Linked DNA regions of Tribolium castaneum. The protein of the gene in region 1 binds, or shares a complex with, the protein of each later gene. Links are inferred from orthologs where the notes say so. Each region holds a gene or a part of one and is shown in the gene's direction. Other genes may lie near its edges.

What was found. The genes of interacting proteins can lie anywhere in the genome.
Region 2: mio (region 1) and Nup44A share a complex: the UniProt entries of both Drosophila melanogaster proteins name them as parts of the GATOR complex. The link is inferred for Tribolium castaneum from reciprocal best matches to the Drosophila melanogaster genes mio and Nup44A.

Annotation. Positions count from the first base shown.
Region 1 is NC_087395.1:14,777,537-14,782,850, reverse strand, and holds the end of mio (GATOR2 complex protein MIOS-B), read left to right. Parts: coding exon 1-459; intron 460-2,155; coding exon 2,156-2,348; intron 2,349-2,398; coding exon 2,399-2,765; intron 2,766-2,813; coding exon 2,814-3,052; intron 3,053-3,096; coding exon 3,097-3,457; intron 3,458-3,505; coding exon 3,506-3,991; intron 3,992-4,039; coding exon 4,040-4,230; intron 4,231-4,278; coding exon 4,279-4,360; 3' UTR 4,361-4,470; downstream 4,471-5,314. UniProt on the Drosophila melanogaster protein: An essential component of the GATOR subcomplex GATOR2 which functions as an activator of the amino acid-sensing branch of the mTORC1 signaling pathway.
Region 2 is NC_087396.1:12,235,642-12,241,964, forward strand, and holds Nup44A (nucleoporin SEH1), read left to right. Parts: upstream 1-2,833; 5' UTR 2,834-2,978; coding exon 2,979-3,089; intron 3,090-3,133; coding exon 3,134-3,290; intron 3,291-3,337; coding exon 3,338-3,599; intron 3,600-3,645; coding exon 3,646-3,879; intron 3,880-3,929; coding exon 3,930-4,087; intron 4,088-4,138; coding exon 4,139-4,323; 3' UTR 4,324-4,388; downstream 4,389-6,323. Other genes in the region: leukotriene A-4 hydrolase, read left to right, coding at 442-586, 638-1,269; mRpL13 (large ribosomal subunit protein uL13m), read right to left, coding at 1,943-2,176, 2,226-2,380, 2,429-2,552, 2,602-2,625; uncharacterized protein LOC661848, read right to left, coding at 5,943-5,963, 6,012-6,115, 6,162-6,283. UniProt on the Drosophila melanogaster protein: Probable component of the nuclear pore complex (NPC). Involved in maintaining the localization of another nucleoporin Mgtor to the nuclear envelope of early meiotic female germline cells.

The DNA of each region.
Region 1 (5,314 bases):
ACCACTACGTTAAATGCCTGGATGTTTACCCAAAATCCGATGCCGATTTGTTGCTAGCTGTGGGTTTATCAAATGGACGAATATCACTGTCGACATTCGGCCCCACGGAGTATGACGCCTTGGGGTTGACTGGGAAAGAACTGGTGCCGAGACATGCAAGGCAGTGTAATGCCGTGTGCTGGAACACAATTGAGACTAGTTGGGTGGCTGCCGGGTTAGACAAGTACAGAGCGGACAATTCCGTTCTCATTTGGGACATTATGAAGTCGTCCCAAAACAACGAAAGCAATTCGGGAAGGATGGCGGTTAACACCATGGCCCCAGGGGTGGAGCTCGCAAAACCCATAGCCGAATTTGGGGTTTCCGAAACCGCCCACAGCATGGCCTGGTTCAGCAGCAACAGCAAGGTGATTGCTGTCGGGATGAACTTGAAAAATATCAAGTTTGTCGACATCAGAGGTATTCTTAGTCTTTTTCTTTCTCAATTATTGTGTCTCACAATTTCTTAAATGTCTTTCCATTTGTGAAATATCAAAATCATGTGTTAATTGATATTCCCTTTCTTTTCCAGTTAATTTAGTCGATTTGGATGAATTCTTTTTATGTAAACAAAGGCCATATTTTTTCGTTAATCTAATTAAAAATAAATATATTTGGAACAATAAAGCGTAACATACATTATATTATGTGGATATTTCTTACAATCTTGCAAGTATGTGTCCATATTTATGTTCAACATAATAATAATAATAATAATAATAATAATAATAACAGACCTTTATTAAAGAAAAATGGGGGCGAAGTCTAGTCAAAGACTATTCACCTCAACTCCCCAAAAAAAGAATTATAAAGATATATAAAAAAATATCAAACAATAAGAAAAATAAAACAAGTAATATAAATAACTTCAGAAAGGTACAAATAGAAAACTTAAAACTAAAAAAGAAGCAATAGAGTAAATATGGAAATGGAAACGTAGCATGCGATGATGAACACCATAATTAACCATGGAGAGCAAGAAATCTTTGTAGAGTGTACGAAATTTATTCACCGAAACATTCAACTGAAAGAGTACAGTGGAGTTAAAAACTTTAACACCATTATAAGTTAGCGAGCGTTGAAAGATGGATGAACTAAACTGAGGCATAGAGATTTGTGTATTATGATGAATGTTGACATTGTGAATGCTATTTCTAAATCTAAATTTTTTCTAAGGTAGAATGGAGACGAAGTTGTCATAAGTTTAAACATAAGTGTACCCAATTGGTGTCGATACATATTTTCAACTTTCAACCAACGTAGGTCGAGTATTTTAGACAAAACATGATCGTATTTGTTCAAACCAAAAATGAACCTACAACAACTATTTTGGATTTTCTGTAATTTGTACTTTGTGATATTATCTAAGCAGGGATAGTATAAGATTAAGCAATATTTCATAAATGACATAACTAAGGTTTCTGTTAACTTTTTACGTAATTTGAAATTCAAAATTAAATAGTTCGCGTATAATAACTTAAGAGCAGAATATGATTTTTTAGGACCATATTAACATGAGATTTAAAACGACAATTTTCCGGACACTGAGGTTTTTATTTTACTGAACATCACACAACAATATTACTCCTATGTTCAATTTTTTTCTTTCTTTCACATATACTTCTGTTACATTCGACTGCATAATAAAACGAACTTCAAAGGTATAAGGTATATTTCTTCTCGCGGGGACGAATAAAATTATTTTAACTGAATAATGAAAATTCTACAAAACTGTTGACTTTAGACAATGAAACCTGGGTCTTTTTGAACATCGCATAGTTTTTTTTGTCGATGCTCAGCACTTCTTTTGGCAGTGTTTTGAGTTCTTCTGTATGTTGAATAAATTTTCGTGTTTGGCAAAACATTGAATTGTTGTCCCAAATTATTTGCCATTGAATCATTTATTCATCAAATTGATTATTAAACCACGTACTTCGTTGCTTATTACACCAATTGTAAACCATTACCACAACGTAGTAAAATAAATGGGAAAATCATTTAAGAAATTGTGAAAAAAAGGAAGAAAACTAAAAGAAAAAAACTACGTGAGTCTAAATAAGAACACTTTTATTTTGACTCACGCTGTGGTCGAAGATTATTCAATAGTTACTTGTAGATCCTAACAAAATCACAAATTCTACGCTAACCAAGGCCGTTTTTGGCGTTTGCATGGACCCGAACGACGACCGGCATTTGGCGTCATTTTTCGAGAATAATATTTACGTTTGGGATACGAGAAATTTCGAAAAACCCATCCTGACGCTGCACCAGAACAAGCCTGTGATCAAAATTGCCTGGTGCCCCACAAAGTACATTCCCAATCGTGCATAAAATTCGAAATTTTTGTTTATTTCCTTAGGTACAATCTTTTGGGGTCTTTGCAAAAAGAGAGCTCCGTGATTAACTTATACGACATACAGCACACTGTAATCGGGAACGAGGAAGTGGAACCGTCCGTTTTGGAGCGGGACGTGGTCCCGGGATCCCCCCACAACATAATGTCATTTTCGTGGCACAACTCCGACGAGAACCGATTTCTGACGATAGCATTGTCGGGGACCATAACAGACTACACAGTTTTCGACAGAATAACCCTCAACTGGGCCCCCACGTCCAACGTGGTGTGGACTTACGGACGCAAAACCATGAAGTACATCAACGACTGTCCCCTGCAGGACATCTCGACCAAAATCCGACAAAGGGCGCTGTCCGGCTACGGCTTAAAAGTAGTGACTTAAGTACCACTTTACCATTTTTCCGATTTTCGTTTCAAGGCAGAGATTTACAAAAACGGCGAAGTTGTGGACAACGAAATGCTGGCAAACGTGTGGAACTGGCTGTTTTTGAGCGGGAAGTTGGTGGAAGACGGGGTTTTGACCGGAACACAGTGCAAACACCCGGGGGTGCAAGCGGTTTTAAAACTTGACCCCAGTAACAACAAGTCTGATCACTATTCCTTGCTGTGGTCCGATCTGGGGAACAAAAACTGCCAAGGAGTTGTCCGAATTTTCAAGTAATGTTGCCACGAGTTGAGTCCGATTTGATAGTTCGTTACAGGCACGAGGACCGGGACAAGGCGTTGCATTTGTGCAGTTGGCATTTTGAGAGAGATTCAAACCAGCTGACCGCCTTTTTGGAGCAGCTTGAAAAAGAAGGGGCGCACACAAGAGCTGCAGCGATCGCGGTTTTTAGTTTAAAAATCCGGCTCGCGATTGAAATTTTGAGTCGGGCTCCGGAAACCCTGGCCTTCGGGTTGGGGCTAAATGTTGTAGCAATGGCACTTGCGGGGTTCACCGACGATAAGAATAGTGTCTGGAAACAGTTCTGTTCGACGGCGAAGCAAAAACTGTCCGATCCGTATTTGAAAGTGATTTTTAGTTTCTTGACTGCTGAGAATTACAATTTCGAGAGCGTTTTGGTAAGTGATTAATTTATTTTGATGGGGGTTTAAACCAGGTTGTTGTAGAACGAGAGTGGGGTAACAGTCGACGATCGAGTCGCTTTTGCTTGCATGTTTTTGCCCGACAACCGACTGCACGACTATTTAAAGAAATTGTCAGATAAGTTGATAGAAGAGGGGAATTTGGACGGTTTATTGCTCACAGGAACAAACCAGGACGGGATTAAGTTGTTGCAAAGATATTTGGACGCCACTGGTGATATCCAATCGACTGCTCTCATAGCCGTCCGTGCTTTTCCCGTGGAACAATTCTCCGAAGTTATCAAAGTCTGGATCTCGAGTTACCGCAACCTGCTTGATACTTGGCAGTTGTGGAACGAACGAGCCCACTTTGACATCATGTTGAGTACTTACTGCCCCGCCGACAAGCCCCCACAGCAAGTGTACGTTTCGTGCAATTACTGCGGCAAGACCATCTCGGCCTACATGTACGGGCTCACCAGGGGGCGGGGCCCCTTCACTCGCATTGGCGGCACCGCCAACAAACTCAAGGTTTGATTGGTTGTTTCGCAATTGGTGTGTTTCTAATTGGTTCTACAGATGTCGTCATGCCCCGGTTGTCGGAAACCGCTGCCGCGGTGTGCGATATGTCTCATGCATATGGGCACCACCACAGGGAATTTCAGCAACGAGGTCGATAGTAATAAAATTATTGAATTTTCCAACTGGTTCACGTGGTGTCAGACGTGCAGGCATGGCGGGCACGTGTCTCACATGACCCACTGGTTTGAGTAAGTTGGCACAGAATTTTGTTTAAGTCAATTATCCCGTTGTTTTAGCGAGCATTCGGAATGTCCTGTGACCGCCTGCACTTGCAAATGCTTTTCTGTTGATTCGCTCAGCAATGCGATTATTAAGTGAATTGTGATATTTTAGCTAAGATTTACGGTACTTTAAGAATTTGATTTTTGTTAAATATATACACCCAACCAACGTTTTTGTGAATAAACGTGTTTTCGAAAACCTTTAAAGGTAGCACCTCGAACCACAAAATTTAAAAAAATATTTAACAGTGTCTAAATCTTAACAGATCGCTGTGATTAACATTATTTCATTTGCTGAAGGAGTGTAAAATGTTTACTTGAGAATGAGGTCTGAATACAGACACTTAAAAATAAAAAAATGGTATTTAAATAATGGTTTAATAATGATTATTGTATTTTATTGCCAAAAGGTTACAAAAAAAACTCATTAGGGCAATATAAAGTAAAAACAAATAAAAACGAGCAGTTGAAAATGACCAATTTACGGGGAAACCCACTGTTCACCTTTCTAGTCATACGACTGTAAGGCTAACTAAACCATAATTTGTCCTGTGAGTATAGTTCTAAAAATCGAGTGGGGTATTGTGAGACTTTATACTTTATAAGATTGCATAAATCAGGAGAATCGAATAAATTATTCAATATTTTAAAACAAAAAATGATTACAGTTATTATTAATACGAGTGCGAAAACACAAGTTTAAAGTTTGAAGGCTGTGCAACGAGCGCACGCGAGTTGCATCTAGACACCCGAGAACTTTTAAGCGTTTTCGCATAAGTGTTATTCATTTTTTTGTTGGAACATTTTTATTTAAAACACGTTGCTATAAAATAAGAGTGTTTATAATCTTTTTTTTCGCTTGTTTGTCGTCAAAATTTTATTCGTTTGTTTTTCTCAGCATACCTATCATGTTTTAATTTAAAACCACTTAAAGCCGAGGCGGTCTAGCAGTCGAAACGCCCTCATTTTTCCTTCGCCGCACACTGATTTTTTACATACAGAAAACTGAGTTCTTTTGTATTTCGTTTCGCATTTTTATTCATTTATCTCA
Region 2 (6,323 bases), on another chromosome or scaffold:
ATTTAAAAAAAGAAATTTTTATTAATTTGTTCCATATTTTTTAAAACGATGCGAATATGGTTGAAGATACAAAAAATGTAAGGGATCAAATAAGTTGTAAAGAATTTTATGATTTTTCTTACACAATTAAGTGAACCATATAAATTATAATCAATTCTATTTATTTCTATCAACTATTTTTTGAAGGCGAGACGATGTCGAAGCGCCTTCATTTCTGTTCTGAACCTACACTAAGTTTTTGGATTCAGAAAATCGATTTATTTTGTATCTTATTTCTACATTTAGTACGTATTTAGTTTTTTGGAGGGAGGACTAAATGAGATACGAGATACTAAACTCACTCAAAAAAGTAGTGCGGCACAGTAAAAATAATTTACGTCGTGTCGCCTCTTAATAGTTTAGTCCTGCTTGGTAAAAATACCATTTTTATATAACATTTAGGTGAAGTTGCTTGGGGAAAACAGCCCTTTGACAAAACTGGTTGTCGACTTGAAGGGGGTTCACCCCGATGATGCGTTTTCGGTGGTTCCCTACGAAAAAGGCCAAACTTTTTTGCGCTACCTTGAAGAAGTAGTCGGCGGACCAGGTAAACAATTAACTGCATTTAAGCAAAAAAAAAAACAGTCGGTAATTGTAGCTCAATTCGAACCATTCCTCAGAGAGTACTTCAACACTTTTAAATACAAATCCATTGACACGAACGACTTTAAATCATTTTTCGAAAAATATTTCGCAAGCAAGGCGGCCATCAAATCGGTTGATTGGAACACTTGGCTTTACGGCACCGGAATGCCTCCAGTGGTTCCCAACTACAACACGTCCCTGGCTACCAACTGTGACAAACTTATGAAACAGTTTGTCGAGTGGGATGAAAAAGCTGCCTGTCCTGTTGAAACCACGCACATTAAGAATCTTGGTGCCGATGAAATAATTTACCTTCTGCAAGAAATATGGAGCGGAAAACCATTGTCTATTCCCAAACTTGAGCAACTGGACAAGTTGTTCGAGTTTAGTAAAGTGAAAAATTCCGAAGTTAAGTTCAGATGGTTGAGAATTGGTTTAAAAGCGCACTGGATGAAGAGTGTTGAACCGACTCTGAAGTGGATCAATGAAGTGGGAAGAATGAAATTTGTGCGCCCCCTGTACAGGGATTTGTACGCTTGGGAGGAAGTGAGAAGCAAGGCCATCGAAAACTTCAAGTTGAATAAAAATTCAATGATGCACGTGGTGGCTTATACTGTTTCTAAGGACTTGCATTTAACGTCTTAAAACTGTGTTAAATAAATTTTTACGCAATATTTAAATTGTTTTCTTTCCCCCATTTCAAAATTTGGAATTAATGTATTAAAAAAATGAATAAGCAAGATAAAATACTGTGGCTATTTGATATTCGAAAACTTTTTGACTAAAATAAAAGAGTTTGAGTTCAACATTCCTTAAATCATTGTTTTCATTATCCCAATTTTGTTGTTTTTCATCTATCAGAGTGTCCACCATTACCTAGGGAGTTACAATTCAAAGAAAAACTGGAGATGTGAGATGCAACAAAGACAGACACATCATTTTATGAATTAACGTAAGTCACGTAGTAAAATTTGTAAGCATTTTGATTGGGCCGTTTGAGGTCGGCCATTAAAATTACGGAGAAAACCAATCACTTTTGAATTTTTGATTCATTGAAAAATTATAGTTTTGGATATGATTGGTCCATTTAAGGTCGGCCATTAAAATAATGTGGGAAACCAATCACTTTCAATTTTCGGACTCATTCCATAATTTATTAATGGGAATTGTTCAATGGTTTATTGTTCTTAGTTTAAATTTAAAAAAGGCAGTCAATAAATATATCTACTTTGTTTTAAATGGTCTCAAAAAAAAATTAAAAAGCAAGATAAAATAATGTGACTATTTTATATTTGAAAACTATTTTCTTAACAAAAAATTATTTCAGAATGTAATCTTTCGGATAATCGATAAGTTTTGGAAATGATTTAACTTCTTCTTCAGTATAATGGTCTAGTCTCTTTGGCATTGGTCTAAGTTGTCTTATTTGATTAGAAACGTTTTTCATCAAATCTGCCGGTACATTTTCATCAGCAAAAAGATGCAGCCTCTCCATTGTGTGCCGTCTCTGCAAATTGCCGGCCATGCTTTTATAAACTGCTTTTTTGAGAATCTAAAAAAATGTTTACACTACTTGGTTCATAAGAGGAATGTTAATTAACTAATTTCGGGTCCTTGCTGTGTAATTCCCAAGCTAGGGTCCAAGACGCACCCCCAGGATAACCCGTGTGGTGAAAATAAGCCCGTTTCTTCCACTCTTCTTCAGGCATCGCGATCTCATTAGTGTTTATAACAATTACATGGTCACCACAATCATCTGAAACTGATATTGAGCAAAGAAACAACACCCGTTTGCCTTAATTACTCATTGGGTGGTAAATTGGTTTATATAAGCCCATTAAATACTTTTTTATCAGTTGCGCGGACTGAAATGGGTCCTGCCAAGCGGCATCGTACACATGCCATATCCTTGCAAAGGTGGCCCATTGCTACAATCCATAGACAATTTTATGCAATTTTACGACCAACTGTATTTACCTGAACCCTTTTTACCACAGACATGCTTGTTATTATTGTTACTTTTTTGTGACACTTTTTAGTGAGGTTGAGTTTTCATAACCTTACATTTGTTATGTAAGATCCAGCGTGCGGTCTAATAATCACGAAGCCGAAACAAAAAATTGTATTTTTAGTTGTTAAAACTTGATTGTTTTTGATAATTTTGCAAGTTCTAGACCTGTAAAAACTAGCTAAATAATTTCTGAGTAAAAAAGCTTGTGAAAATGATTATTTTTCACAATTTCGATAACTTGGAGATTCTACCGCAAAAACTCAGCGTTCTGCGCAAGTACTGACGCTTTGAACTTTAGGGGTTATGTTTAGATCAGTTTTGTTGATTATTCGTGAAATAAAAAATGTTTGAGGCCCAGGAAATTAATGCCGAACACAAGGACCTAATCCACGATGTTGCGTACGATTTTTACGGCCAAAGAATGGCCACTTGTTCCAGCGATCAATACGTTAAGGTTAGTTAGCAGTTGCGTTTTCAACTTATAAGGAAAAAAAGTAGGTTTGGGACCAAAACAGCGACGGCAAATGGACTTTAACATCAAGCTGGAAGGCCCACAGCGGCTCCGTTTGGAAAGTGACTTGGGCCCACCCCGAATTTGGCCAGGTTCTGGCCACTTGTTCCTTTGACCGAACTGCCGCAGTTTGGGAGGAAATTGGTACTTTCAGTAGTTTTTATCGAGTGTGTATTTAATGTGGGTTTAAGTTGGTGAGACTCCCGGGCCTGGGGAAAGAGGGACGAGGCATTGGGTCCGTCGGACAAATCTGGTCGATTCGAGGACTTCCGTTACTGATGTGAAATTCGGGCCACGGACGCAGGGTTTGCAGCTGGCGACCTGTTCAGCCGAGGGCATTATTCGGATTTATGAGGCGCCCGATGTTTTGAATTTGAGTCAATGGACTTTGCAGTTTGAAATCCAGTGCAAATTGCCGTGCAGTTGCCTAAGTTGGAATCCTAGTTTATCAAAGTATTTTTTGCAGAATTGTTAGACGGTTTGTAAATGGTGTTTTTAGGATGCATCCTCTGATGTTGGCGGTTGGAAGTGACGATCCAAATCCAGCCAATGGAGTCAAAGTTTTTATTTATGTTTACAGTGAGAGTTGCCGGAAGTGGACGAAAATGGATGCCATAACAAACATTACAGACCCCGTCTACGATCTCTCGTTTTCTCCTAATTTAGGCCGCAGTTTTCATGTTTTAGCCATTGCCACCAAAGATGTAAAAATCGTTAATTTACCTCACGTTTAGTAAGTTTTACATTTTTCGATTATTGTTTTTTCTAATCATTTTTTTGTAGCGACAACCCGAATTCGCAGAATGTTATTACAAAATTAGATGCACAAATTGTTGCCCAATTTGACGATCATGAATCCACCGTCTGGAGAGTCTGTTGGAATGTTACAGGAACTATTTTGGCTTCAAGTGGAGACGATGGTTGTGTCAGAATGTTTAAAAGTATGAACTAAATTGTAAGCTTATTTATCGTAAGAATAATTTTTTTTGCAGTGAATTACATTAACTCGTGGAAGCCAATAGCAGTATTAAGAGGTGATGGGTCACAAGTTTCTAATGAAGGTCAAAGATCATCAGTTTCTTCAACAGTAGGGCCGCAAATCCAAAGTGCGTCACAGACTGCTAGATATATTAAACTCGGTGCCATTTCTCAACCAAGAGACGTCCCTTGGCATTAATTTTTAAATCCGTAAAATGAGAACAAGATGTATTTCACAAAATACTGAATAAACTTTTATTTTAATATTTGTTTTTTATGTTTACCTGTTTCACAACTAATAATAAAAAGTAAAATACACAAAGTGATCAAGAATCAAATACTTCCAATAAGATTTTAAATTAATTAAATTGAATTTAAACTTCAAAAATCTCCTACGAACATTTTTTGAACAAACAAAACCTTGGTAAGATGATCGATTCATTGTAGTAAAAATACTTAAAAAATCAAAACCAAATAATAATTTTGCGGTTTTGTCCTAAAGTTATTGATCATTCTTTTAAATTTTGTATTTTTGGCTCTCGAGGAGGGATAATAAAAAAAACACCAATAAATAACATGAGCCCTGTTTTTAAAACTACAGTATTTACCTATCCCGTGATCCCCTTTGCGCTTTTGAATATGCTGGGGACACTTTCCCCCGACTTTTCGCCTTTTTCGTTGGATTTTGTAGAAATAACATCAATTAGAAATGTCAAATTGTAAAAGTGCGCGCGCATGCGCTTTGATTTTCAACATGTCATTTCGAGAATTCGTCAATTGAAACTTTTGGACTAATATAAAAGACTTTCAGTTCAATATTCCTCATTTCATTGTTCTCATTATCCCATTTTGTTGTTTTTCATCTAGCAGAGCGCCCACCATTACCTAGGGAGTAAGAATTCAAAGAAAAACTGAAGATGTGAGATGCAACAAAGACAGACACATCATTTTATGAATTAACGTAAGTCACGTAGTGACTGTTGTAAAATTTGTAAGCCTTTTGATTGGGCCGTTTGAGGTCGGCCATTAAAATTACGGAGAAAACCAATCACTTATGAATTTTTGATTCATTGAAAAATTATAGTTTTGGATATGATTGGTCCATTTAAGGTCGGCCATTAAAATAATGTGAGAAACCAATCGCTTTCAATTTTCGGACTCATTCAATAATTTATTAATGTGAATGGGTCAATGGTTAGTTCCTCTTAGTTTAAATTTAAAAAAGCAGTCAATAAACAAATCTTGTTTGTTTTAAACGGTCTCCCTAACTCAAAATTTTAGTAAAAAAAATTCGCTGTAGCTCATCTCAACTGCTACAAATTGTCTTTATTGTTTTTATGTTTAAAATTTTTTAAAATTTTTTTGCTCATTTCATTAAATAGACTGATTTGTACCACCGTACCGAATCAAAACATCCATAACTGGATTAAATTCGGTATTTACATTCGAATTATACTGGAATGAATTACAGATTCTGATCGTATTCAATATAAATAATAATAAATTGTGTCTGGCCGACAAATTGTATTTGACACACCTACACACATATTTTTTTACAAATTCAATAATACCAGGCTTATTGCATATTATCTGCATGCTGTGTTTCTTATTTGTGTAATTTAAATCGGGATATGAAAAAATATTGAGTTGAACGAGTGGAAACAAATTTAAAAAATGAAATTTAAATTTGATTAAAAAATGGGAAAGGAAAATTAAACACTGGGAAAAATATTAAATTATTACTTTATTTATCAATTTTTTCACACTGTAGGAAACCAACTTTCGCCTACAATTCCTACACTTAGACGCGACTGTGTATTATTTCCGCATCGTTTGTGACTGAAATAAAGATTAAACAAACACAACCAAACAAAACCTCCACTTTACGTTAAACATATAATCTGGAACATTTTTTATTAAGTATCCAGCGATCGATCGCGCGATCGGCTCGTTAGCTAGAGGATCCTTGGACCGCTGCTTTTGCAAAGCAACTAAAAAACAATTTAACACTTAATCCAGTGCCGGTTATTCACCCACCACTGGAGAGTTCTCTTTTTGAGGGTATCGCGTCTCCCATTCCTGCTGGATTTATGCATATCTGGCGGCGTTGAAATTCTCGGTTGCTTGACTTGCACATCGGTGGCATTGCTGACGACACACTAATTCTCATTTTTCGAAAAACGGATTAAACTCTAAGCG